7 linked regions of the Nothobranchius furzeri genome follow. The protein of the gene in region 4 purifies or fractionates together with the protein of the main gene of each other region. This does not show direct contact. Links are inferred from orthologs where the notes say so. Each region holds a gene or a part of one and is shown on either strand. Other genes may lie near its edges. The genes, in order: luc7l3, scaf1, cpsf6, srpk2, clasrp, tjp2a and dgcr8.

Evidence for each region.
Region 1: the proteins of srpk2 (region 4) and luc7l3 purify together in Homo sapiens (affinity purification with mass spectrometry; 3 studies listed by BioGRID and IntAct, with this or other methods). This does not show direct contact. The link is inferred for Nothobranchius furzeri from reciprocal best matches to the Homo sapiens genes SRPK2 and LUC7L3.
Region 2: the proteins of srpk2 (region 4) and scaf1 purify together in Homo sapiens (affinity purification with mass spectrometry; 3 studies listed by BioGRID and IntAct, with this or other methods). This does not show direct contact. The link is inferred for Nothobranchius furzeri from reciprocal best matches to the Homo sapiens genes SRPK2 and SCAF1.
Region 3: the proteins of srpk2 (region 4) and cpsf6 purify together in Homo sapiens (affinity purification with mass spectrometry; 3 studies listed by BioGRID and IntAct, with this or other methods). This does not show direct contact. The link is inferred for Nothobranchius furzeri from reciprocal best matches to the Homo sapiens genes SRPK2 and CPSF6.
Region 5: the proteins of srpk2 (region 4) and clasrp purify together in Homo sapiens (affinity purification with mass spectrometry; 3 studies listed by BioGRID and IntAct, with this or other methods). This does not show direct contact. The link is inferred for Nothobranchius furzeri from reciprocal best matches to the Homo sapiens genes SRPK2 and CLASRP.
Region 6: the proteins of srpk2 (region 4) and tjp2a purify together in Homo sapiens (affinity purification with mass spectrometry; 3 studies listed by BioGRID and IntAct, with this or other methods). This does not show direct contact. The link is inferred for Nothobranchius furzeri from reciprocal best matches to the Homo sapiens genes SRPK2 and TJP2.
Region 7: the proteins of srpk2 (region 4) and dgcr8 purify together in Homo sapiens (affinity purification with mass spectrometry; 3 studies listed by BioGRID and IntAct, with this or other methods). This does not show direct contact. The link is inferred for Nothobranchius furzeri from reciprocal best matches to the Homo sapiens genes SRPK2 and DGCR8.

What each region holds. Positions count from the first base shown.
Region 1 is NC_091752.1:53,179,718-53,181,926, reverse strand, and holds part of luc7l3 (luc7-like protein 3), read left to right. Parts: intron 1-27; coding exon 28-209; 3' UTR 210-242; intron 243-1,640; 3' UTR 1,641-2,209. UniProt on the Homo sapiens protein: Binds cAMP regulatory element DNA sequence. May play a role in RNA splicing.
Region 2 is NC_091758.1:13,840,717-13,844,216, reverse strand, and holds part of scaf1 (splicing factor, arginine/serine-rich 19), read right to left. Parts: intron 2,306-3,500; 5' UTR 2,242-2,305; coding exon 1-2,241.
Region 3 is NC_091741.1:47,840,563-47,844,680, reverse strand, and holds the start of cpsf6 (cleavage and polyadenylation specificity factor subunit 6), read right to left. Parts: upstream 2,801-4,118; 5' UTR 2,709-2,800; coding exon 2,649-2,708; intron 1,053-2,648; coding exon 846-1,052; intron 755-845; coding exon 651-754; intron 529-650; coding exon 383-528; intron 1-382. UniProt on the Homo sapiens protein: Component of the cleavage factor Im (CFIm) complex that functions as an activator of the pre-mRNA 3'-end cleavage and polyadenylation processing required for the maturation of pre-mRNA into functional mRNAs.
Region 4 is NC_091744.1:58,271,275-58,274,774, forward strand, and holds part of srpk2 (SRSF protein kinase 2), read right to left. Parts: intron 2,064-3,500; coding exon 1,971-2,063; intron 1,690-1,970; coding exon 1,597-1,689; intron 1-1,596. UniProt on the Homo sapiens protein: Serine/arginine-rich protein-specific kinase which specifically phosphorylates its substrates at serine residues located in regions rich in arginine/serine dipeptides, known as RS domains and is involved in the phosphorylation of SR splicing factors and the regulation of splicing.
Region 5 is NC_091753.1:42,025,199-42,028,300, reverse strand, and holds the end of clasrp (CLK4-associating serine/arginine rich protein), read left to right. Parts: coding exon 1-37; intron 38-168; coding exon 169-227; intron 228-422; coding exon 423-469; intron 470-584; coding exon 585-670; intron 671-881; coding exon 882-906; intron 907-1,974; coding exon 1,975-2,029; 3' UTR 2,030-2,602; downstream 2,603-3,102. UniProt on the Homo sapiens protein: Probably functions as an alternative splicing regulator. May regulate the mRNA splicing of genes such as CLK1. May act by regulating members of the CLK kinase family.
Region 6 is NC_091746.1:73,933,135-73,936,634, reverse strand, and holds part of tjp2a (tight junction protein ZO-2a), read left to right. Parts: intron 1-2,806; coding exon 2,807-2,936; intron 2,937-3,500. UniProt on the Homo sapiens protein: Plays a role in tight junctions and adherens junctions. Acts as a positive regulator of RANKL-induced osteoclast differentiation, potentially via mediating downstream transcriptional activity.
Region 7 is NC_091757.1:31,769,476-31,772,336, reverse strand, and holds the end of dgcr8 (microprocessor complex subunit DGCR8), read right to left. Parts: coding exon 2,773-2,861; intron 2,702-2,772; coding exon 2,588-2,701; intron 1,126-2,587; coding exon 1,042-1,125; 3' UTR 501-1,041; downstream 1-500.

The sequences.
Region 1 (2,209 bases), on a different chromosome or scaffold from region 4:
CATGACGTAAATGCGCCATTCTTTCAGACCGTAAAGCATCAGAGGAGAAGAGCGGTTCTAAGAAAGACAGGCACACTGAAAGTGATGCAGCTGCCATCAGAGCTTCATCAGAACCAGAACCGATGCAGACGGAGGCCGCCGCCTCCCCCCGTCTGGTCAATGGCCAACAAGAGCTCCTCCAATCTGAAGGTGACACTCAGTCCAATTAAAACTGATCTGATAGGACCTCAGATCAGGCTCAGGTAAGTGCTGCCTCCTCTTCACTCCCCCTGGCTCTCAACCCACCCTCACACACCCTGACCCCTCCCCTTAACACCCACCCCACCCCTCCCCCTTGCCCTGTTATGTTCAGTTCAATGACTCTGATGTTGTCTGATGTACTACATGCAAACATCTTTATCCTGTTTTTGATTAGTGCATCGTAAGTATGCACTGAAGATGAAGGCCTAGGCCCGATGAGTGAGAAGAAGGTAGAAAAGATTCACTCAAAGCCAAGAGGGAAAGGCCAGTGTAGCCCTGAGGTACCCCTCGTTTTGTCTCGGTTTTTGACCCTTACACATGTTTATGTCACATTGTCAACACAATGACAGCAAAACGTAACTCATCAGTCTAAACTTTCTAGCTGTTTTCATGCCTGCTTTTACCTTATTTTACTGTTTTCAAACAGGAAATGGTAACATTCGATCCAGGGAAGAAGTGTCTCCATGTTTATTTATCTATCGCTCAGATTTATCCCAGTCATGTGTAGAAAGCCGAGAAAACAGATCAACCTTGGATTTAAGGTGTGTGTGGAGAACAGCAGCACTTAATGTAGCCATGGATTTCTGCTCCAGCTTAATGTGCCTGATGATGCCATGCACTGTGTGTGGGGTGGGTGGGGGGTGCAGCACCGGGAACCTGAGGACTGACTAACTGGAGGGTAGGGTTTATCACATGAATTGCAGCTGACTTCTATACCTCACACAGCGTTGGTGTTGTGAGCGAGACCACATGAGAAAAAGGGCAAATTAAAAATCTTGGATACTCTCTGACTGTCAAACTGTGCAGGTACTCACCCCAGGTACTCCTTTCTCTACCCACATCCATTTCTGAATGCTGTTGCCTGTCAGAACAAACCGTTATTCTTTAGATCGAGTATTTGAATCAACAGCTGTGTGTATTTTTTCTAATGGTCATTTTTGCTCTTGTGTTTATGGAGGAGTCGTGTTAGACTTAGACGATGATGTACCCTTTGCCATCAGCTGAAATTGTCACTAACATGTACCTGGTAGCATTGTTTGGCTGTTTAAAGTCACATTTCTGTAGTCTGTAGGGTGTTTCTGTGGTTCTCAGGTTTTTCTTTCACATGGCAAAGGGAATATCACGCAGCCTCGTCTCCACATTTAAACCTGATCTTGTGGAGGGTAATTGTGAATTGCTAAATATTTCAATTCAGAGAGAATAATAGGATAATGTGGCCAATTCACCCAAGATTATAACTATAGTTAACTTTTATGCATTAATGGTGTTTTTTTTTTGTCAGACTTCCTCCGTGATTAGGTTGAGGGATGTTTGCTTAGTGAATGTTCTCAGGTGTTGCTACGAGCCCGTGTTGTGGGACCTTTGCTAATATTGCGCATTGTGGCCGTTTTTCTCCACAGAGGAAGCTGGGATGACTTATGGAAGAAGTGGAAGAGAGCACCCGTCTTTACCCTGAACCCGACACACCGCTGCTTAAAAATAAGGTGAACCACAAACGTGTTGTGGCTTATTTAAGAAATGAACCTAAAGTACACGTGTAAATGTGGAGATGAACTATTCATGTTTTTTATGGTCATCTCATGTCGGTTATGAGGATAGCTGTGGTTCATCTGATTTTTATAAGATTGATTGGTCCATCTCTTAGAAAACTTAGTTAAGGTGCAAATAGGTTTTTGTTTTATTTTGAAAATCTTTACACATCCTCTGTGTTTCTTGGCATTTAGAAAAATGGAATAAACTTCAAAAACAGTGCTTGTGATTTGTGTTTGTTAGTCAGGTTGTCTCACTTCCTGACCTTTGAAGAAGTCCGATCAAAGCGTTTGTGCGATTTCAGGGAGTCTCTTCACCCCCACTTAGAGCCCACGATGAATGCTCTTGTCCCAAATCTGTAAAATATTACGATTTATTTTCATTGAAGACTTTTGAACATTTAAGATTTAATTTTGCCTTGCTTTTAATGTTCATGTTA
Region 2 (3,500 bases), on a different chromosome or scaffold from region 4:
TTTGCCCAGTTTTCTGGCCCGCTTTGCTAAGGGAAGACCAGGTGAAACCGACGCAGAGCCGGAAGTGATGGTTAGCGAGGAGAGGCATTTACTGGTGGTTCTGTTAGAAGACGTGGAGGACTCACATTTCTTTAATGCGTGGGACTTCTTTTTGGGGTGACTTCGTCTGGTCTTGGGTGTAGCTTTAGCTTTAGGGCTGGGGACAGGAGGCTCTGGAGGCAAAGTGGCCGGAGGCGTATCCTCCATAGAGGGGTAATCTGAATCCAAGGCTTCACCATCTAAAGACAACATGTCAATCTCCAATTTGTCTGAGTAGCGGTCCGACTCATAGCCATGATACCTGGGTGGTGAAAGCGATTGTGACCAGCTGCGACAGCTTCCCTCTTCCTCTGCAGCTCCACCTGAATGCCATTTTCTTTTCTTCCTTTTATGCGACTCGCTGACCTGTGTGGGATGACTGGGAGATGCTGTGGACAGTCTGGGGGAGCCAGGTACGGTGGTGGTGGTGGTAGTGGTTGTGACTGTGATGGTTCTCTTAATAGCAAAGAGATCGGACCCGTTGAGGTCTTGGATAGATGGGGGCACAACAGGACGCCCATCTCGCCGGCGCTCCATCTCATGCTGTCTGTCGCTGTCCCTCTTGTCCCTGCTCCTTTTGGACCTCTCCGTGAGGCCTCGCTCTCTGCTGCTTGAATGGCGTATGCCCTTCTTTTCCCCCTCTCTTTTTCTAGAACTGGAATCATGCACTCTTTCATCTTTTCTATGGCTACTGCTGCGATGACGATGTCCATCTCTGTCTCTGTCTCGGTTTTTATCTCTATCTCGGTCTTTATCTCCATCCCGGTCTCGGTATCCGTATCTGTCCCTTTCTCTGTCTCTGTTCCTGTCTTTGTCTCTTTCTTGATCTCGATGTCTTTCCTCGGACAGCCTGGAGAAGGATAGTCTAGAATGCCCTCCCTTTCTAGAGGACTTGTGGGAATCTTCGGGGCTGCTGTGTAGTCGTTTCTTTCTCTTTTGACTGCTGCTTCTGCTGCTCCTCCTTGCTCTAACCTCCTTCCCAGCCTTGTGTCCTTGTTCCTTTTCTTTGCTCCTGTCCCTATCCCCCTCTTTGCCCTTCCTTCGCTTTTTCCTTCTGGTTTCCTTTTCTCCAGCTTTCCTATCTCTGCTTTTCTGTTGGTCACGCTCCTTGGAGCTCTTGGAGGACTTGTGGCTCTTGCCAGTTTGCTCTACAGGAGATATGGGTGGAGGGGACACTGCAGAAGCTTTAGGCACAGAAGGAGGCAGTGGTGGCTGAGAAGAAAGGGGAGACGAGGCAGGAAATGAGTGATATCTTTCCTTCCTCCTACTGACCAACTTCCTTCTCAAATCCTCCACTCCAACTACAGGCTCGTTCTCCAGCTCCTGGTCATCCTCCCAGTTTCCCTCCGTGCACACGGATACAAATCCATCTCCATCGAGCACACGGAGAATGCGCTCTGGTTTAGAAGCAAAGAAAGAGATTTTGGGAGAGTTTGAGGTGAGTTGCTCTTCATCAGGTCTGTTATTAGCCCTGTCTCTGTCAACAGCTCCAACAATTTCCCCCTCCTCTATCTCAGAATGGTCAGAGTCACTGCTCTCTTTTTGCCCTTCGCCTTTGGGGGTGCTGCTGCCCAGTCTCCGTCTCAGAGACAGCTGGGGAGCTGGACAGGGGCTCAGCTGGTCTGTAAAGGTGTCAGTGGAATCTGGAGGTTCTTCTTCTTTCTCCTCAGGATTGTGAATCTCCTCCTCTTTTTTAATGTCTTCATCTACATCTGATTCTGGAGAGCCAGTGGGATCAAAGGGGTCATACTTCTCTCCCTCCCCCTCTTCATCTGCCACCCTTCTCTCTTTATCCCCATCAGTCGGACTGAAAGGATCATACATTTCCTCTTTCTGGCCATCTTCTTCACTGGACTGCATTGATCCACGAGGACAGCAGGCCACAGAGATGGTACTGGATGAAGGAGTGGGGAGAGGCTGTCTAGCTGAAGAGGTGGATGTGGAGGACACCCCAGACACCTCTCTTTGACATTTCACATGATTTTGATAAGCAGATGACTTTGCACAGAAAAAGGAGGATGAAGACGATGGTGAAGATGGATCAGATGAAGGGGGTGAAGAGGGTGAGCAGAGAAAAGGGCTCCTGGATGTTTCTTCAGCTTCTACTGGGGACGAGGAGGCAGCCAGCCTCCTTTTGAAGCCTGGTGTTGGAGACAGGTCCATGGGCCAGGAACACCTGTGACGCTAGGATGCCAAAAACACAAAGCAGAAGGGTCCAGGAGCACACCTGGCAGAGAGGAAAAGATTCAAGTTAACGGAGTTCTGCAAAAGTTCCCAATGGAGTGTATTAATAGATTCTATTGAAACTGATTTATTCAAAGTTTTAAATGCTGACACCTTCATCATCATCACCTTCATCATCATTATCATCAACACCTTAATCATCATCATCGCAACCACCTTCTTCTTCTTCTTCATCATCATCATCATCATCATCATCATCATCATCATCACCACCACCAGCTATCATCATCTTCATCATCATTATCATCACCACCATCACCATCATCACCTTCATCATCATTATCATCAACACCTTAATCATCATCATCATCACAACCACCTTCATCATCATCATCATCATCGTCACCACCACCAGCTATCATCACCTTCATCATCATTATCACCATCATTATCATCACCACCATCACCATCATCACCTTCATCATCATTATCATCAACACCTTAATCATCATCATCATCACAACCACCTTCATCATCACCATCATTATCATCAACACCTTAATCATCATCATCACAACCACCTTCATCATCATCATCATCATCGTCGTCACCGCCACCATCATCATCACCACCACCTTCATCATCATTTTCACCATCATCATTAACATCAACACCTTCATCATCATTATCATCATCATCATCATCATTATTATTCAACATTATCACCATCACCGTCATCATCATCATCACCACCACCAGCTATCATCACCGTCATCATCATTATCACCATCATCATCATTATCACCATCTTCATTATCACCATCATCATTATCACCATCTTCATTATCACCATCATCATTATCACCATCATCATTATCACCATCATCATTATCACCATCATCATTATCACCATCATCATTATCACCATCATCATTATCACCATCATCATTATCACCATCTTCATTATCACCATCATCATTATCACCATCATCATTATCACCATCATCATTATCACCATCTTCATTATCACCATCATCATTATCACCATCTTCATTATCACCATCATCATTATCACCATCTTCATTATCACCATCATCATTATCACCATCATCATTATCACCATCATCATTATCACCATCATCATTATCACCATCATCATTATCACCATCTTCATTATCACCATCATCATTATCACCATCATCATTATCACCATCATCATTATCACCATCATCATTATC
Region 3 (4,118 bases), on a different chromosome or scaffold from region 4:
GAAAAGAACGCTTGCTGCATATTTTTTCACTCCTCCAGTCACCGGTGAATAAAACGTTCATACTTTAAGAGTTTTTCCACGAGGTATTCTTCAAAGCGGCTCCGTGTCTGCCTCTAGATGTCTTCTTAAAACTAAGCCGTTTGAAAATTTCTATTCAGGAAGAATTAAAAGTTACATTTGTTGTTTTATACGGTTAAATCCAATCTTTTTCACACGATTCTCATCTTCGGAAAATCAAGTGATCGGGCCTAAACTCCAAACGCTTGATTGGATCGGCGCATCAAAATCAAAAACACTGACGCTCATCTCCACAATAGATTGGTAGCTACCCTAAGTTGGTAGACGTTCTTTTGCAGATCTGCCATTGTAACTTTAAACTTACTTTTCCGTGACTGCATCTCAAACTGACTGAGGGACTGTTTGTTGCACGGTGTAACGATGGGATTCTGTCCATGGAGCTCCCTCTTCGACAACAACTCCATTAACTTCCTGGATGATGCTTCTGAACCCACACACACGAGAGCAAATCTGAAGAACGCAAAGACAAACACAAGAGTCATTTTAATAATCATGCTCACAGCAATCAGAGAAGCTGGAGACAATACAAGGGTTATACTTAAATCAAACACAAAAACAATGGCCTCACTCACCCTTTTGACTGGCCATTGGCTCTGTTTTCATAGAATTTAATCTCTAGCACATCTGAGATGCCTATTGAACGGACGGCTTCTGTCAGGTCTTCATCTGTTGTCCACTGTGAGAGAAAACAAAATTTGAGTGATCTTACCAAATTTTCTGATGAATGCTATAAAAACATTTTGGCTGTTAAGATGACCGATACCCACCCACGTGAGGTTTCCTACATACAGGGCAATCCTTTTGCCTGTGTAGGTGTATGCGTTGGGTGGTGCACTCTTCCCCCCCTCCGAGCCACCTGGAGCAAGTGGTGCATCCAGGTACTCCCGGTCTTCAGGAGCATCTCCATTATTGGCCGAAGGTGAGATTACATCATCATACAAGTCGATCTGCTCATGAGCTGGGTACTCTGGTTCCTGAGGTATGATAAAATGTATGAATCAAAAACAGGATGTTTCTACTTCATTCTTTTCACTTTAAATTGTTTATTTACATAAAAAAAATCTACTCTATATTGAGTGCTTAATAAATCATTAGTAGTCCCCCTTTACAGAAACTATAATTCGTTTTACTGATTTGTATTATTTAAAGATCAACTTTACTTAGATTTTTAATACATTTGCGGTGGTCTCTAGCAGGAATAAATGCCTAGTAAGTCATACTCTGGGGGAAAAAAGCTCCGGTGCACCTGTTTCAGGAACTAGAAGTGGGCCAGATCAGAGGTGAGCTTCGGACGGCAGGGTTTTGTGTTTTATTTCCTGATACTTGGACATTTCCCTTAAACTGGCCAACAGCAATGCAACTCTACCACTGACTGCTTGCTGTGTGACACTGATGTTTTATCTCCACAAACTGCACAAGCTTGAAGGAGTTCTGCTGTGTGGTGGTGTTGCTAACACCAACAGGTAGCTTTTACTAGTTCCCTGCTGTTTACCGGATGCTAAAACAGAAACAACCTTTCCTGTTGCGCGAGTCAAAACGGGCGAGTCCATGAATGTTAAGTGACTGTGTGATGAAGATCTGTCAGGCTTTTCAAATCCTAGAGTTTCACCGACTATTTCCTACCAGAAGCTGATGCAGGAGATAGGTGTAGGAGACTGTTTTCATGTTCAGAAATAATAAAAAAAAATGGGTTTTCAGTGTCACGTTAAAAATATGAGAGATAATGTTAAAATTTCAATACATGTTGTTACCAGGACACTGACTTAAAGGGATTAAATTCCTATAAGATGTAACTACTGTTCAATGGACTACATTAAAGTTGTTTTATACATTCGTGTGAGACATTTCAGCGCCACCCTTTTGTTGTCTTTGGTACCTCGCCCTGGCATTAAAACAAATTAGCTTGCGTATGTCGTGCTTTTGTTGTAGGAACATTGAGGGATTATTGTTGATTACCGTTCAAATCATGGAGGCTGTTTGTCCCTCAGAAAGAAGGGGCGTAAGCAGCGAAATGCCCGGATGTACTGCTTCTTTACGCAGCCTCTACAAGCTAGTGCTACAAATGTTCTATCAACTCATCTCTAAATTAAACATGCACTTACCCAGGCACTGCGGAGCATTCCCACTCATTTACTTTAAAAGCGAATGGGTGGCAGCTCATAAAAATCTGAGCTGATTCACACGATCGTTTGGAAAACCTACGAGGTTAGCTCATAGTAGCTAACAGTAGGAGCATCTGTTTGACTCGCTGGTCCGCCATGGGAAACCACGCGGAGGCCTGGAAGGGAGCTACACGAATAAGTGGCTATAAATCTTGTTTACTCGCGTAAAATTATACTAATAATTATGTACCCGTTGTATAAACCCTTGGGCAAAACACACGCCTCGGTGAATGCTTTTACTTCAAAGGCTACATTGATCTGAAGCTGAGCTGCAACCAAGCGCCCTGAAAGGCCTCTTCAACAGACTCGCATACAAATACGATTTTATCCAATTCTAATACCAACAAATGATTACAAGCCTCCACAAAACCAAACACGGTTGAATGAACTGCCGTGAGTTAATAATACCTGGCTGAATTCCTCCTCCACATCGGCATAAATGTCGATATGATCCACACCATCCGCCATTTTCTCCCGATCCGCCGCTCTCTACCCGCGCGGCGGTGCAGTCTGCAGACCCAACAACGACCCACAAACAAGCAACCTCAGGGCGCGCCCCTGCTGGCCGCTGTGGGTACACGAGTAAATAACCCACTTTTCATTCTAATAAGTTTCATAATGAAAATCTGTTTGGTTTGGAGACATGAAATTTGACACACTTGCACCCATCCATCCATCCATCCATCCATCCATCCATCCATCCATCTATCCATCCATCTATCTATCTAATAATAATAACAATACTATGTTCTTATATATGTAAAAATATGTCCTTATGTATGTAACATAATACAATTTGTGTTTATTTTTAAAATATTGTTTATAAGTACATCTTGTTATCAAGTGGACCAGTTAGAGAGTTGCCAAAGTTGTGTGTGGCCAAATGTCTTCAGACCATCGAATTACTACAAGATTAAACATGTTATAATAACCATGCATGCGATTAAAAAATATTAATTATCTTCTTGTTTGTATGTTTGTTTGCACCCTTGTGGGGTTTTTTAAATCAGCATTACAATAAACGTGTTATCAAAAAATTAAGAATTTTTTCTTAGCTAATTTAAGAAAAACAATCACAGCTAGAAATATTTAATACGTCGTGATTTGGTCACACAAAAGACACACTGAAATATTGCATTTTCTATGATTTATGTGTTTTAACGAGATAGCAGCTGGTGGTGCTCTACGGGTTTAAAGATCTTTAAAGCTCGTTTACGTACAAATGTTTTATTATTTGGAGCCTAGTATTGGGAGTGTTGGACTGGATTGGAGTTGTATTGTCACAACATAGCCACAAGAGGGCGACAAAGGTTTCAATTAAACAGCACAAAGAGACATCAACGTTCTATTGTTTCCCTCTTGATTGGTTCTTTCCTTTTGAAATTACTTAATCGATTCCGTTGATTTTGTTCCAGTAATTTCAGAAAATGTTGCTAAGAACAAATATTTAAAAACGTATCCTAATATTTCTAGACTTGTATCTGGTGAGCATGTGATCAAATAATATATTTTATTAAATTTACCTCAGTTCTGTCCAGTTTATTTATATAGTGCCAAATCACAAGTCATCTCATGGCACTTCACATTACTAACCAATTCAATTCATTATACCAATTAGTAAAAAGTTTTCCCATATAAGGAACCCAGCAAATTGTATTGAGACACTGCCTAGTGTCAGTGTCTTTTACAGCAATCCTCATTCAAAGCAAGCATGTAGCAACAGTGGAGATGAAAACTCCTTTTAACAGGAAGAAACCTCAAGAGGATCTTGGATCAGTATAATCAGCCATCTGCCACGACTTACTGGGGATTGACTCACCCCGGCCCCTACACAGCGCCAGGTGGGATATTCTGGCCACACGGGCGATATGGGCTGGA
Region 4 (3,500 bases):
ACAGATTAGAACAACCTCAACTCAAAAATCACATTTTCACATTATAAATTCTACAAATTTCATTTTATTTAACAATTCTTGACAAAACTACTGTACTTGTCTTCTAGGTGAGACCAGCAAATGATGAGTTCTGTCTTTTCCCCATGGGCGATTTTCATCCGGTAATAAGAAAGCCCCAAAGATCAGCAGTAACCTAAACAAGTGTGCTTTGTTTTCCTATTTAACTCAATAAGACCGGTAACCATAAGAGTCCAATGTGTTTTTGTTTTCATGCCTCTAAAGTCATCAGACAGAATAACAGTTTAAAACTTGTTTATTTGTTTTCAGGAGAAGTTTTAGGATGTTTTTCTTTCATAAAGTAAAATGATGACAGAGCAGCCTCTCTGTAGACGTTTTTAGCTTTTATTTTCTTTAACATAGAAAATACTCCTACCACAGTTCATCTGGTGATTTTTTTAAGTGTGCTTTGTTTTCTCAGTCGTGGCAGACAACTGCTTGATCCAGGATCTGTTGGAGGTTTATCCCTGTTAAAAGGGCATTTTCCTCTCCACTGTCGCCACATGCTTGCTTAGTATAAGGATTGCTGTAAAGTCACTGACACTAGTCAGCGACTCGATGCAATTTGCTGGGTTCCTTAGAAAACCTTTAACTAACTGGAATAATGAACTAAACTGTTTAATCAGCGGGTTCAACTGGAATGCTTGAGACCACTTGTGATGCGAACTGGTGATATAAAAATAAAGCTGATGATTTTCAGCCCCCTATAGGTGTTACTGCCATCACAGTTCTGCAGACTTTACCAGCTGAGTTGAACTCTAATTAAAGCTGAATGGTAAATTTGGAAAACAAATTAGCTTTAAACAGTTTTTCATGCCTCTTAAACAAGTCACCCCCAAATCAACTTTTTGGCAAACCCTGCGTGCACACCCCACCCCCCATACATTCTAGCGAACTGAAACCCCCCCCCCCCCCCCAATAGAAAAACCTTCATATCATCATGAGACAACACCAATGTAATGTCTCTGTAAACAAAAGATGTCCAAAAGCCTTGTATCCATTTCAGCCGTTTAAAGTGTCTTTCTGGAGTTTCCCCGTTCAGAAATTATGTATGACTTTCCGTGCCGACCAGAACTGACCAATAGTGTTAAACTACCGCTTACGTGCTTGAAATTTAAGAAATACCTTGGCTGATGCACAGTTGATGAACTTTTCACGGACAAGAAAGTCTCTTAAGTATAAATATAGGAGAACAACATGACATGAGAATAATTCTTGTAAAACATCGTGTTTTAGCTCTGATTGTCAGCAACAGAAGGACATAAATAAACAAGAAACGTGAAGTCGCCATTTTAATAAAACGGAAGGAGAAATTATTTGTGTGATATGCTTGTCAGCCACTAGATGGTGCCATCGGATAAGGGAAATACTCCAGAAAGAGACTTTAAAGAAATACTCACCTGAACATTTCTTGATGCTTAACGAGGAACAAACTTTACAGAAACCGATTACATAGTCTAGGTTCTGTCACCAGAACATTCCTCAGAATGAGGCCAACAGCGAACCCACCAAGCAGCCACGGACTCTGGTTCTGTTTACCTTTCTTGGAGAAAAACTCTCGGCTGTACTTCCCGGCAGCAACCACTTTGCGTGGGACCTTCCCAAGGAGCTCCGTGATCAGAGCGATGTGGTCTGCCCACCAGTCACATACATCACAATGGGAACAGGCACATTACAGCATGCACACACATCTACACACACACATACACTGGCTGCACGGGGCTGACACACAGATGGCTTGAGGCTCAGCCTGGACACTCTCGCAGACTTGGGGGGTGAATTTGTTCCATTTTTCTTAAAGTTTAATCCAGTTTATCCATTGGGACCAAACGTAAACAGTCTGCTCATTTCCATTATTGTCCCTCTAAGACATCTTTGTGTTTCAGCCCCACCAGCTCTACGGCCAGCGCTACCTCTTCTGTTGAAGAACTCCCGGGAATATTTTCCAGAGAGTGCAAAGTGCCTCGGAATACAGCCCAGCAGCTCTATGATGTGGGCTATGTGGTCTATGGAGGAGATGGGGTGGAAGGAGGCCAAAACAGAGAAGGTAAGGAAGGGGGATGAAAGGCAGACAGAGCCAAAAATAAAAATAAGAGAGTGGAATCAAAGAAAAAAAAAGGACACAAAATAAGACCATAAAAAGGAATAAGGGTGAAACACCGGTAACAAAGAAGAAAGAGGGATAGCGAGTGACAGGAATAAAAGAGAAATCATTATGATGAGGTTAAGGGGGATGAGAAAAGAGAGAAAAGAGAAACCATCACAGATCTTAAAGAAGAAAATCCTGTTAATAAGCTGTGCCTCCACAGGAGAAGTAAGGAAAGGAAAAAAAAAGTGAAACAAATACATCAAAGACAACTCGGCTTGCAATAGATCAAAGATGTTTCCTGTAAATTGGGATGTCTGAAAAACCGACGCTGACTTGATGCAAAAAATCCTGGAGAAGGGAGCTAACTGTGGCTCATGAAGCTAGAAAAACAACACAATGAGCTGAGCCAGATCAAATGATAATAATAATAATAAAAAAATTTAAGCGCCTTTCAGGACACCCAAGGTCACTTTACAGGAAAAATACATTCAGTAAATTACATTAAAACAACATTAAAACACAATGAAGAAAAGAACATAGAAAAAACTAAATTCAAATAAAATCAGAGGTCATAGGCAGATTTGAACAGGTGTGTCTTGAGTCTGGATTAGAAGAGGGTGAAACTGTCAATATTTCTGATGTCTAGGGGGAGTGAGTTCCAGAGACGGGGAGCAGAGCGGCTGAAAGCTCTGCTCCCCGTGGTAGTGAGACGGGCAGAAAGAACAGCAAGATGGAGGGAGGAAGACGATCTGAGGGAACCGGAGAGGGTGGTAATACGTTTAAGGTCTGAAATATATGGAGGAGAATGTTTAAGATGGACCTGAATTTAACTGGAAGCCAGTAAAGCTGCTGGAGAACCGGGGTGATGTGGTGAAAGGAAGGGGTTCTTGTGATAATACGGGCTGCTGAGTTCTGGACCAGTTGAAGTTTATGAAGGAGTTGTAGGGGAGACCAAAAAGAAACGAATTGCAGTAATCGAGGTGGAAGACTGTGGACACGAATGGCGGCGGTGTGAGGGGTAAGGGAGGGGCAGAGACGGTTTATGGATCAAATATGGAAATAGGCTGACCGAGTTATGTTATTGATGTGAGCATGAAAAGAAAGTGAGCTTTCGAGAATGACACCCATACTCTTAACCTGAGGGGATGGGGTGACTGTGGCGCTGTCAATGGTTAAAGAAAAGCTGTCCGATTTGGAGACGGTGGATTTGGTACAGACAAGAAGAAGTTCAGTTTTATTTCCACCGAGTTTGAGGAAATTAGACGTGAACCAAGATTTGATTTCTGAGAGGCAGAGGGTAAGGGAGGAGGGTGGGAGAGTGGAGTTAAGTTTACTGGAAATGTGGGTGTCATCC
Region 5 (3,102 bases), on a different chromosome or scaffold from region 4:
CTGAAGCTACGAATGCAGAAGGCGCTCAACAAGCAGTGTGAGTATGCCTGAATGAGCACGTCTCTCAAAAGCTGTGCACGGTTTTTGTGAATCTATGCAAAACTTTAAAGGTCTAACACGGGTTTTCTCTAAATTTCTTGTTTGATTTCTTTTTCCCCTGACCTGCAGCCAAGGCGGATAAAAAAGCTGCTCAGGTGAAGATCCAGCAGCAGGAACACAAGCGGCAGGTGTGTGTGTGTGTGTGTGTGTGTGTGTGTGTGTGTGTGTGTGTGTGTGTGTGTGTGTGTGTGTGTGTGTGTGTGTGTGTGTGTGTGTGTGTGTGTGTGTGTGTGTGTGTGTGTGTGTGTGTGTGTGTGTGCGAGAATCTATGCTGAAACCAACCCTTCCCCGTCATTTCCCCTCATTGCTTGTTAATTTTACAGGAGCGTGAGGGAGAGCTGCGAGCCATGGCACGCAAGATCCGTATGAAGTATGTGTGTGTGATGATGTGTACTCACTAGTGTGCATATGTGCACACTCTGGTGTGTAACTGTGTGTGCGTGCATGTGTCTTGCAGCTCTCTGACCTAAAAGTTTTGTGTTTAGGGAGCGTGAGCGACGTGAAAAAGAGAGAGATGAATGGGAAAGACAATATGGCCGACAGAGCAACTCACCTTCCCCCTCCAGATCCAGTAAGACGGGACAGTTTTTCATCACAAATAGATCTATATAAAAACACAAATTAGTTTAGTTTACCCTACAAGGCTTTTTGTAAATGCATGCCAACAAAATGTCACCAGCTAAACCTCAGATTGATTTGTTACCACCAGTTTGTTTAAAGGGCTAAAAGACGTTAAGACACGATCTTGTTTTTATTGTGGCTCTGCTTCCTCTGTCCCTCAGGCCGAGAGTCCAACTCATACAAAAGGTATGTAAGACACCACAGGAATCTTTACAGTCCCAGTGAAGCGTTAATGTTTGTTTGATTTTCATGTTCATACAAAACCCCGTCTCAAAGACCCGTCACAAAGCCTGCAGATTAAACCCGTACGTTAGGCAGCTTTCTCTTGAGCTGCAGATTAGTCTTCATGTTCCGATGCCAAACGAGGGTGGAAAGCTATTTTATTTATTCCTGAAACCAAAGAAAATCTCAGCAAAACTAAACTCAGTTTGGAAAACCATTCGTGTTCTGGGAAGAGCCAATAGCTACTGTTATTATTTATAATATAATAAGTAGTTATACTAACCTGGATATTTGATTTAAGATTAATTAATCTCTGATGTTGATTCTAGGTAGTTAAGGGTGTAAGAAAATAACAATTTATTGAAATATTGCGATATTCCGATACCAGTCTTGATTATTTAAATGCAAAAAGTTCCTGTATTTCTTTTGTGTGGTGCAATTCAAATCCTGGCTGCTAGGTGGCAGCAGTTTTTAACCTCATTCATTCTGATGGAACAATTAGAAATAGCGATGATTGTGGATGTATCTTTGAACCAGCTGAGTTTTCCCATCAAATTCAGTGTTGAAAATTGCAAATATGTCTGGCTTTTAGTATCACCATATATCGTATCGTCTCCCGTTGACTGTGATATATATTGTATCGCCAGATTCTTGCCAATACACACCTCTATGGATAGTAATTAAATGTATGATGCAGCACAAACAGATTTAACAGTGACTCAACATCAAAACATGTCTTATGTTGTCTTGGGTGGAATTCTACTTTTACACAAAAGTTTACATGAAGGGGGCGGGATTGAGCTTGTAATGAAACCAGCCTACAGGGGGCGCTTGTCCCATTCTAGGCTTGCACTCAGATGTTTAAGCTGCAGGCACAGAAAACAAAACTAAACAATTAAGACTGACAGTGTGACAGTCAAATGTCATTTTGCTGTTTTTGACATGTCTGGTGTCAGAAAAGATCAGATCAGTGATGTAAATATTGCTATCATGTGCTGGCGGCTTTTCTACAGCGATTTTGTTTTTTCCCAGAAGGTCACGATCGCGATCTCGATCTCGATCGCGGAGTCCGTATTACAGATACTAACAGGTGGACGTGGTGGACTCATCCTGCAGAACGTCCATTACAAACTGTCCAACAAGAGCCACTTACATGGAAATATGAAGAGGTGGAGTGACTGACTGTTGGTAACCAAACCAGCTCATAAGCCTACAACTCAACACGATCGCTCGTACTGCTCATACATGAAACAGACTGTGATTCTTTACTCATTTGAGATTTTTCTTCAAGATTTCTTCACCTCTGCATGGTACATTTTTTGTTTTCCCTCCACTTCCTCTGGAGATATTTGTACAAGGTGAAAGTGTGTAACACAAAGCAGTACCCATGGTTTTGCCTTTCATCTACCCAATGTCAATATTCTACAACAATCTACAATTTTGTAACGGGAAAACTAAGGAATGTTTCAAGCTGTCTCATAATTTGATTTGCTGGATATGAATTATATATAAATCCAAATCTAACTACTTTAAAGGGGGAATCTGTCTGTGTTTATTAAACTGTTGGTTGCTCATTTTGTACTCAGCTGGCCAAATACAGAAACGTGTTTCTCTAATGTGGAATGTTAAATGCAGAAAAAATAAAAAAAGATTTTGAATATTTTTTTGTCTTGGTGTTTTTGTATATATTGAAACAATAACTGATATTGTAGAAATAGCTTGATTTATTGCAGTTTTGGAGTTGTCAGTAGTGCGGTACTTTGTTTTGACCAGTTGGTGGCGACAAAAACAAGATGCGAGTTTTGGATCCGTGCTTGAACTTTAAATAATTTTCATTTGAGTGATTCTTGAAGATAATGAGTGTCGGAGCCGCAGCTGGTCGGAGCGAAAAGCAGAAGTGAATACTGACCTGGTTCCTGCTTGGTTTTAAAACACCTGTGGAGAATTAGTTCCCTCAGAGCCACTGAGGAGGAACTCTGACGATCCCCGCCTCATTAAAAAACATGATTCAGTCAGTCAACACTGACTAAACTCCAGTTTGTTGTGAGAAAATTAAAGGTGATAAGCGTGCGTGGATTGTTTTACCCGAAGGGGGCGGGATCAGGGTCTGCGGGGCGGGCGGTGTGCTCGGTCCATGCCCCCACCTCCCTCTGTCCTGCG
Region 6 (3,500 bases), on a different chromosome or scaffold from region 4:
AGTATTACTCCACTCCCACTTCCTGTTTGAAAAATGCAACAAATGCTGTTGCCTAGCAGACCGAGAGGGCGGAGCTGCTAACAAATACACACACACAGGCTCACATTGACATTGTGACATCATATGGTACCAGCTAACGTTCTAGGGTACCTCTTAGCCAATAGCGATGGCAAATTTAAATTCAAGTTTAGTGCAGAGTTTTTACCTGACAATGGCACAACACTGCCAGTTTTAGGCAGAACATTTAAATTTTAACTAAAATGCACTAAAGTGCAAAACTATTGACTACACGTGTCTGCATCACGACTAGACACGCATTTATATAGTTTATCAGGAAAAAAAGTTGATTTGAGGGTGACTTGCTCTTTAAAGATCTTTCTGTTGCATGTGAAAACTTAAAGGAGCAATAAGTAAGAATTCAATAGTGAATTAATCACAAAACAGTCTGTCTACATCGTGTTGGAAGGAAGGTCACACTCACAGGTTTCATCCTCAGCTGGCTGCTGGGGCTAGAAGCTAATCATCACAGGAAGCATCGGGGCTCGCGTTATTCAGGGAGTTAAACATCAACGTTGCATTTTTTACCCAAGAAAACGTTTCTTCTTTAACGCAGAAACGACTCTAGCTGGGATTAAGTAATCATCTCCTGTCTTATTTTAAATTTCCGTAGCATTTTCTTCATCACAGTTCAGGCTGGTTACCAAAGACACCAGGAGGAGGGCGACATTAAAGCTGCCAGTTTGGCTGAGAATGTGTTTTACTCATGTCTGCACATGCTGCAAGTGATCGGGTCAGGGAGGCTGCAGATTATGATCTGTAGTGTCTTTGTGCGGGTCTGGGCTCTTTGCAGTCGAGCATGAGGGAGAAACATGTCTCAGATGTGAAATAAATGTGATTTTGAGTGTAAAAATCATGTCTCTGGTCTAGAAGGTTCAAGCCTTTTTAGAGCATCTAAAAATGGACCTTTCTGCCTGGTGAATCCCATGTGAGTGTGCAGACTTTCTGTTGGGTTTAACAACACGCCAGCAGAGATGTTCCCTTTAAACATTCATCACCTCCTCTTAAAAGTTTAAAATGTGAAGATCACAGCACACTTGGTGGGATTAACTTTTGAGGGAGTAATGTGGAGAAATTGGTGCTGGAAGCGATAATCTGTTGGTTATAATGTTTAGTTGCGTTTTGAGAAAAGGATGGACCTACATGACTCGCAATACGACCAGGATGTGAGTTATGGGTGAAAGAAGGATTTGTGTTTCCTCTTCAGTCAAAAACATGTGTGTTGTGTACCTTATCAAAATAAAAGCATCAAATACAATAGATTGCTTATTAATGTGACCGTGTGAGCGTCCTGTCACAGTATCCCGACTGATCCTGCGCCCTGGCTACTTGCCAAGGGGATGTCCCTTTGGCTGACTGGTTAGCATGCATGACTCTCACCCGGGAGTCTGGGGATCGAATCCCGCCTGGGCCCTCGTTTCTCCACCTTGCCACATTAAGATTCGTGTTCACTTTGAGTTTTTCATCCTTACAATTCAAATCAATTCAAGTTTATTTATAAAGCGCCAAATCACAACAAGAGTCGTCTCAAGGACCTTCACACAGTAAACATTCCAACACAGGTCAGGTCATTAAGCCAATCAGTAAAAAGTTTCCTATGTAAGGAACCCAGCAGGTTGCATCAAGTCACTGACTAGTGTCAGTGACTATACAGCAATCCTCATACTAAGCAAGCATGCAGCGACAGTGGAGAGGAAAACTCCCTTTTAACAGGAAGAAACCTCCAGAGGATCCTGGCTCAGTATAAGCAGCCATCCTCCACCACTCACTGGGAAGAATACACACACACACATGCAGACATACACACGCATACACACGCGCATGCACGCACACACACACACACACGCACGCACGCACGCACGCATCTGTCTTTCTATCGTAATCCCCCCATTGACTTTGATTCTTTTTTTTGTGATTTCACCATGCCTAACCCATACCATAACCAATGCTGATCTGTTCCTAACCCATTCACACCAGACCTCTAACTGATATAGTAAGCTTCTAAAAAAAATGAGGACCCAAAAAATGTCCTCACATTGTAGGGAGAGTGTTCAAAATGGTTCTCAGAATGTAGTATGTACAAGAACGCACACACACACACACACAAACACACACACCACACACACACACACACACACACACACAAAGTGTGTGTATTTCTTAGTAAATATTCTATTTGGTGAGAGAAACACATGAACAAATGAACATCAAGTGGATTAAATTAAGTCTGGGCGATGTGGCCTAAAATAAATATCACGACATATCGAGTTAAACTCTAACGTAAATAAACAATAACTACATGCACAAAAGCACTAGATGGGGCCGTCACGGGTATTACGTAGAGTTACGTTGTCATGTGACTGGAGATGGTCCAGCTAGTTAAAGGGACATGAACTTCACCAACTTACACGCATCTATTCTTTTATTTATTTATTTTTATTTATTTTTTTTACTATCGAATTAATTGACATGGGGAAAAATGGTTTTGGTTAGAAATGACCGATGGATACATTTTTGAGTTATCGCCTAGTCCTAGATTACATTGTTTATGTGATTGTTAGCAACATTTGGTCAGTTTTGCAGCCTTGCAGTACACGATATCATAAACTACACCGGTCAGCCTAGAGAAGCTGAAACTCCCACTGAAGAACAGGGTTTTCTGCTCGGTTTCACCTTTTGGGCTGATGACCTGTCACTTTTTTGTCCCAGATCTGTGTAAAAAATTAATGTGTTTTCCTTCCATCCACAGGGACCAGGGTTGCTCCGACCCGACCAGTACTGACCTACTGAAGTCTGGCCGTAAGTTCTGCTGGTCCAGAGAGACCCATTACTTGTATCTTCACCGCCTCTCTTCAAGAAGTTTCTCAGCCATCACTATGGTAGGACACTTCTCTGATGTTTATTATTGATGAGAGGGAAGGAATGGAGAATCATTTGGTTCTGTGAGAACATGGGTCAGGGTTTCAGTTCAGTTGTCTCCGGGTACGATCCATCCAACGGACTTCACTTAAAGATGTTGGTAAAGGAACAGAAGTCAGAACAATCTCAGTTGGGAGACTCGGAGAGGATTTCTCATGTGGGAGTTGAGCTGCTCCTACAAGAAATCTACTATGGCAGTTTCAATGATCTATAATAAAGGGATGTTCTTACACTTAAGTGTGTTTCTGTTTAAAATTTGTAAATTCTTATTTTACCCATTGTAGAAGGCTTTCTGAAGGGCCTCTGCTCAGAGAAATGGTTCACATCCATCAGGACTAACGAGCTAACGGCTAGTTTGAGGGAAGACCATACCAGAGTGTATTAAATCAGATGGAGATAACTTTAAGACGCTTACATTCCTCCAAACTGATAAAATACGCATTTTAATTAGATTCCTAAGAAGTTCATTTTTATTTTCATGTTGCTTGTATTTGTCCTCTAATTGATTTTTTTCTGCTTTTTTT
Region 7 (2,861 bases), on a different chromosome or scaffold from region 4:
ACAGCAAGAATGATGGCAAACACAAGAAACCACGATCCATAGACGACTCGTAAAATTCTGCACATGCTGCTTACTACTCTACTCGTGACACTGAACAGGCCTTAAATATATTTACCTGACTGTTAAATGCTTCATCATGTGAATGGGCCTTGGTCTCCCACTTCCTGCTGAAGGTTATTCTAGGTCCGATGTAACATTTAGCACTTGAGCCCTTCATGAAATGGATCAACTAAGGCAACATGTAGCCAACTTCATTTACCTTTTTAAAAGAAGGGCATCAGAAATGAAATGTCTAAAGCAACCGGTGCATGGCAGTAGGGTAGGAGTAAAGGACTCGGGCTCTGGACTGGGTTTACAGCAGAGCCAGGATGGGGTGAAGAACCAAAGCAAAACAAAGCGTCCACCCAAGTCTCAGAAGCAGTCAGACCAACAACAAGAACATCACACACACACACGCACACACACCAATAGTTCTGAACAGTGATCACTTCACAACGCATGTTCTTGTCATGCAAAGCAAGACGACAACTTCTCATTGATAAAACGGAACAATTGCATTCCTCACCCAAAATATCCAGAAACTACGATTAAAACACTAAATAAACCAGAAAGTTTGATTTCCAATCATTTGAATGGTAAAAGTACAAATATTAGTAGTCCCTTTCAAACACTTCAAGCACTGAAACCATGAGATTGTGACTAGAAAACACTGACCGAGAAACCAATGAGCACAGAGGTTTTTATGGATTAAACACGTATGCATGCTGTAATCTGATGTGGTTCATATTTTAATCAATAAAGTTTCAGTGCCGTAGAAAGCTGCAACTAGAGAGGTATTTAGTCGGGGGTCTGTAAGTGCATTTAGTCCTACCATTATAACAATCTGCTCAGTCACGAGAGGGTGTGTGTGTGAGGGAAGCCAGCTGGTCAAACGTGGGACTACACCGTCCTTTTGTCTCAGAGATGCATACTTTCGTCGTGGGGGTGACCTTTGACAGTGACCGGCTTTCAGTGCGGTGGTTCATCAGTGATTTATGAGAATTAAACATCAACAGTGCAGAGAGGCTCACTCCCCGGCTGGGCAGACTCCATTATGGTCATCTTGGGTTTCTTTCTCGTCTCCTCCTGATGTGAAAACAGTCAAGTACAAAGTTCATGAGCAATGCGTTTAGAAAGACCGGACTTCATGGAAAACAACTACAGAAGGTTTGCACCAGGAATCGTTTCTGTAAAATCACACAAAACAACTGGACTCCACTCCTCCAGACTGGGGTTCTCACTTGAAAAACAGAAATCAGCCTCAGGAATGGGCAGTCCGCACTCCCAGACTCAATCATTTAAACATAATTTAACCTTTAGTTACTGATGTTACAACCCCGGCACTGGTGCATCGTGTGGAGAGGAGGGGGTAACAAAACTTGACAGGTGGAAAATCTATAAATGTTTTTTTTTTTAAAGGGCCAAAAACGGAAAAACACAGGGAGGACGTTACCGAAACAAAAACGCCTATATTCTAACGAAAGGAACAAGTTATTTAACGGATTGGAATGAAATGAAATGCAGGGATTTCACCTTCTCAAAACAAGCTACAATTAAATAAGGAATTATCCTTTTTATGCAAAATTTAATCTAAATGAAAACAGTCCAGTTATCTACCAAAGTAACTCAAATCCTCAGAGGGACAAACGAGAACACAAAGATTAAATTCAAAGGACCATCTTCACAACTAAATTTACTCTCCCAAAACCGGGCGGGCGTTTAACAGATTCAAAAGGGCAACGTCAAAGATCTTCTAATGATCGTTCCCAGTTAACCCAGTTAACATTACTCACAAAACATTCGTAACTCTAAACTCTGTTTTTAAATTACCACCAACCACTGAGGTCTCCAACTACCGCGGAGCAAAAACCAAGTGTTGTCATCCTGGTTTGCCTCCTCGACTGGTTGAGATCACTGCCTTTTGTCTCCCGGGCAACTAATCAACGGTAATGTTGCCCAGCTGAGCTCATCAGATGCCGGCAGGAGCGCCGGTCTGGACCAACCGGGAGGCCAGAAGCGTCAGGGCTGGAACTGCAGGGAGAGGTTTGGGCGGTGTCCATAATGGACATGTCCTAAAACAATAGTGTCCAGCCCTGGTCCCTGAAAGCCCCCATCCATCCATCATAAGGAGGAAGAGATATTTTAAAAACCACGAGGTGCTTCACAAGAACAATAACTGAACAAACAAAATTTAAAAAGTATAAAATTGGGAAAAGTAAAAATTTTATATCAGGGAGGAGTAATATCCAACACGTTTTAGTTCTTTCACTGCTTCAACACGCTCAGTATCAATTAGGTGATTAACAGGCTTCTGTAGAGCTAGATAACATGTTGAACAGGTGAATCAACCACTGAATTAAATGTGTTGAAGTGAAACAACAAAAACATGCTGGATACCAGCCCTCCAACACCAGGACTGGGCATCCCTGTTGTAGTTTCTCTGCTTCAACACACCTGGTTTTAAAACGGGCCGCTGCAGAACTCCTGCTGAATCAGGAGTAGGAACTAAAACGAGCTAACGCTAACGTGTGTCTGGCTCTGTTCTTACCCTCTGAGCTGCCAGCTTTTGCATCTCCTCTTGCAGTTTGTTCAAGATGTGAAGGTTTGGCTTGTTCTTTTTGGCATACTGCTGAAGCTCAATCACACTCTTGTCGGAGCTCTCCTGAGGAAAGCACAAGTTCATTTAATTCATTTCTGGTAAATTTCTACCTTCCAGCTCAGGAGGACCCTCACCTTCTTGACCATCTTGTTGCTTTCTCTGCCGTACATTCGTAGCAATGAGCCCCAGTTCTTAACATGAGGGTGCAGCATCTGCAAGATCT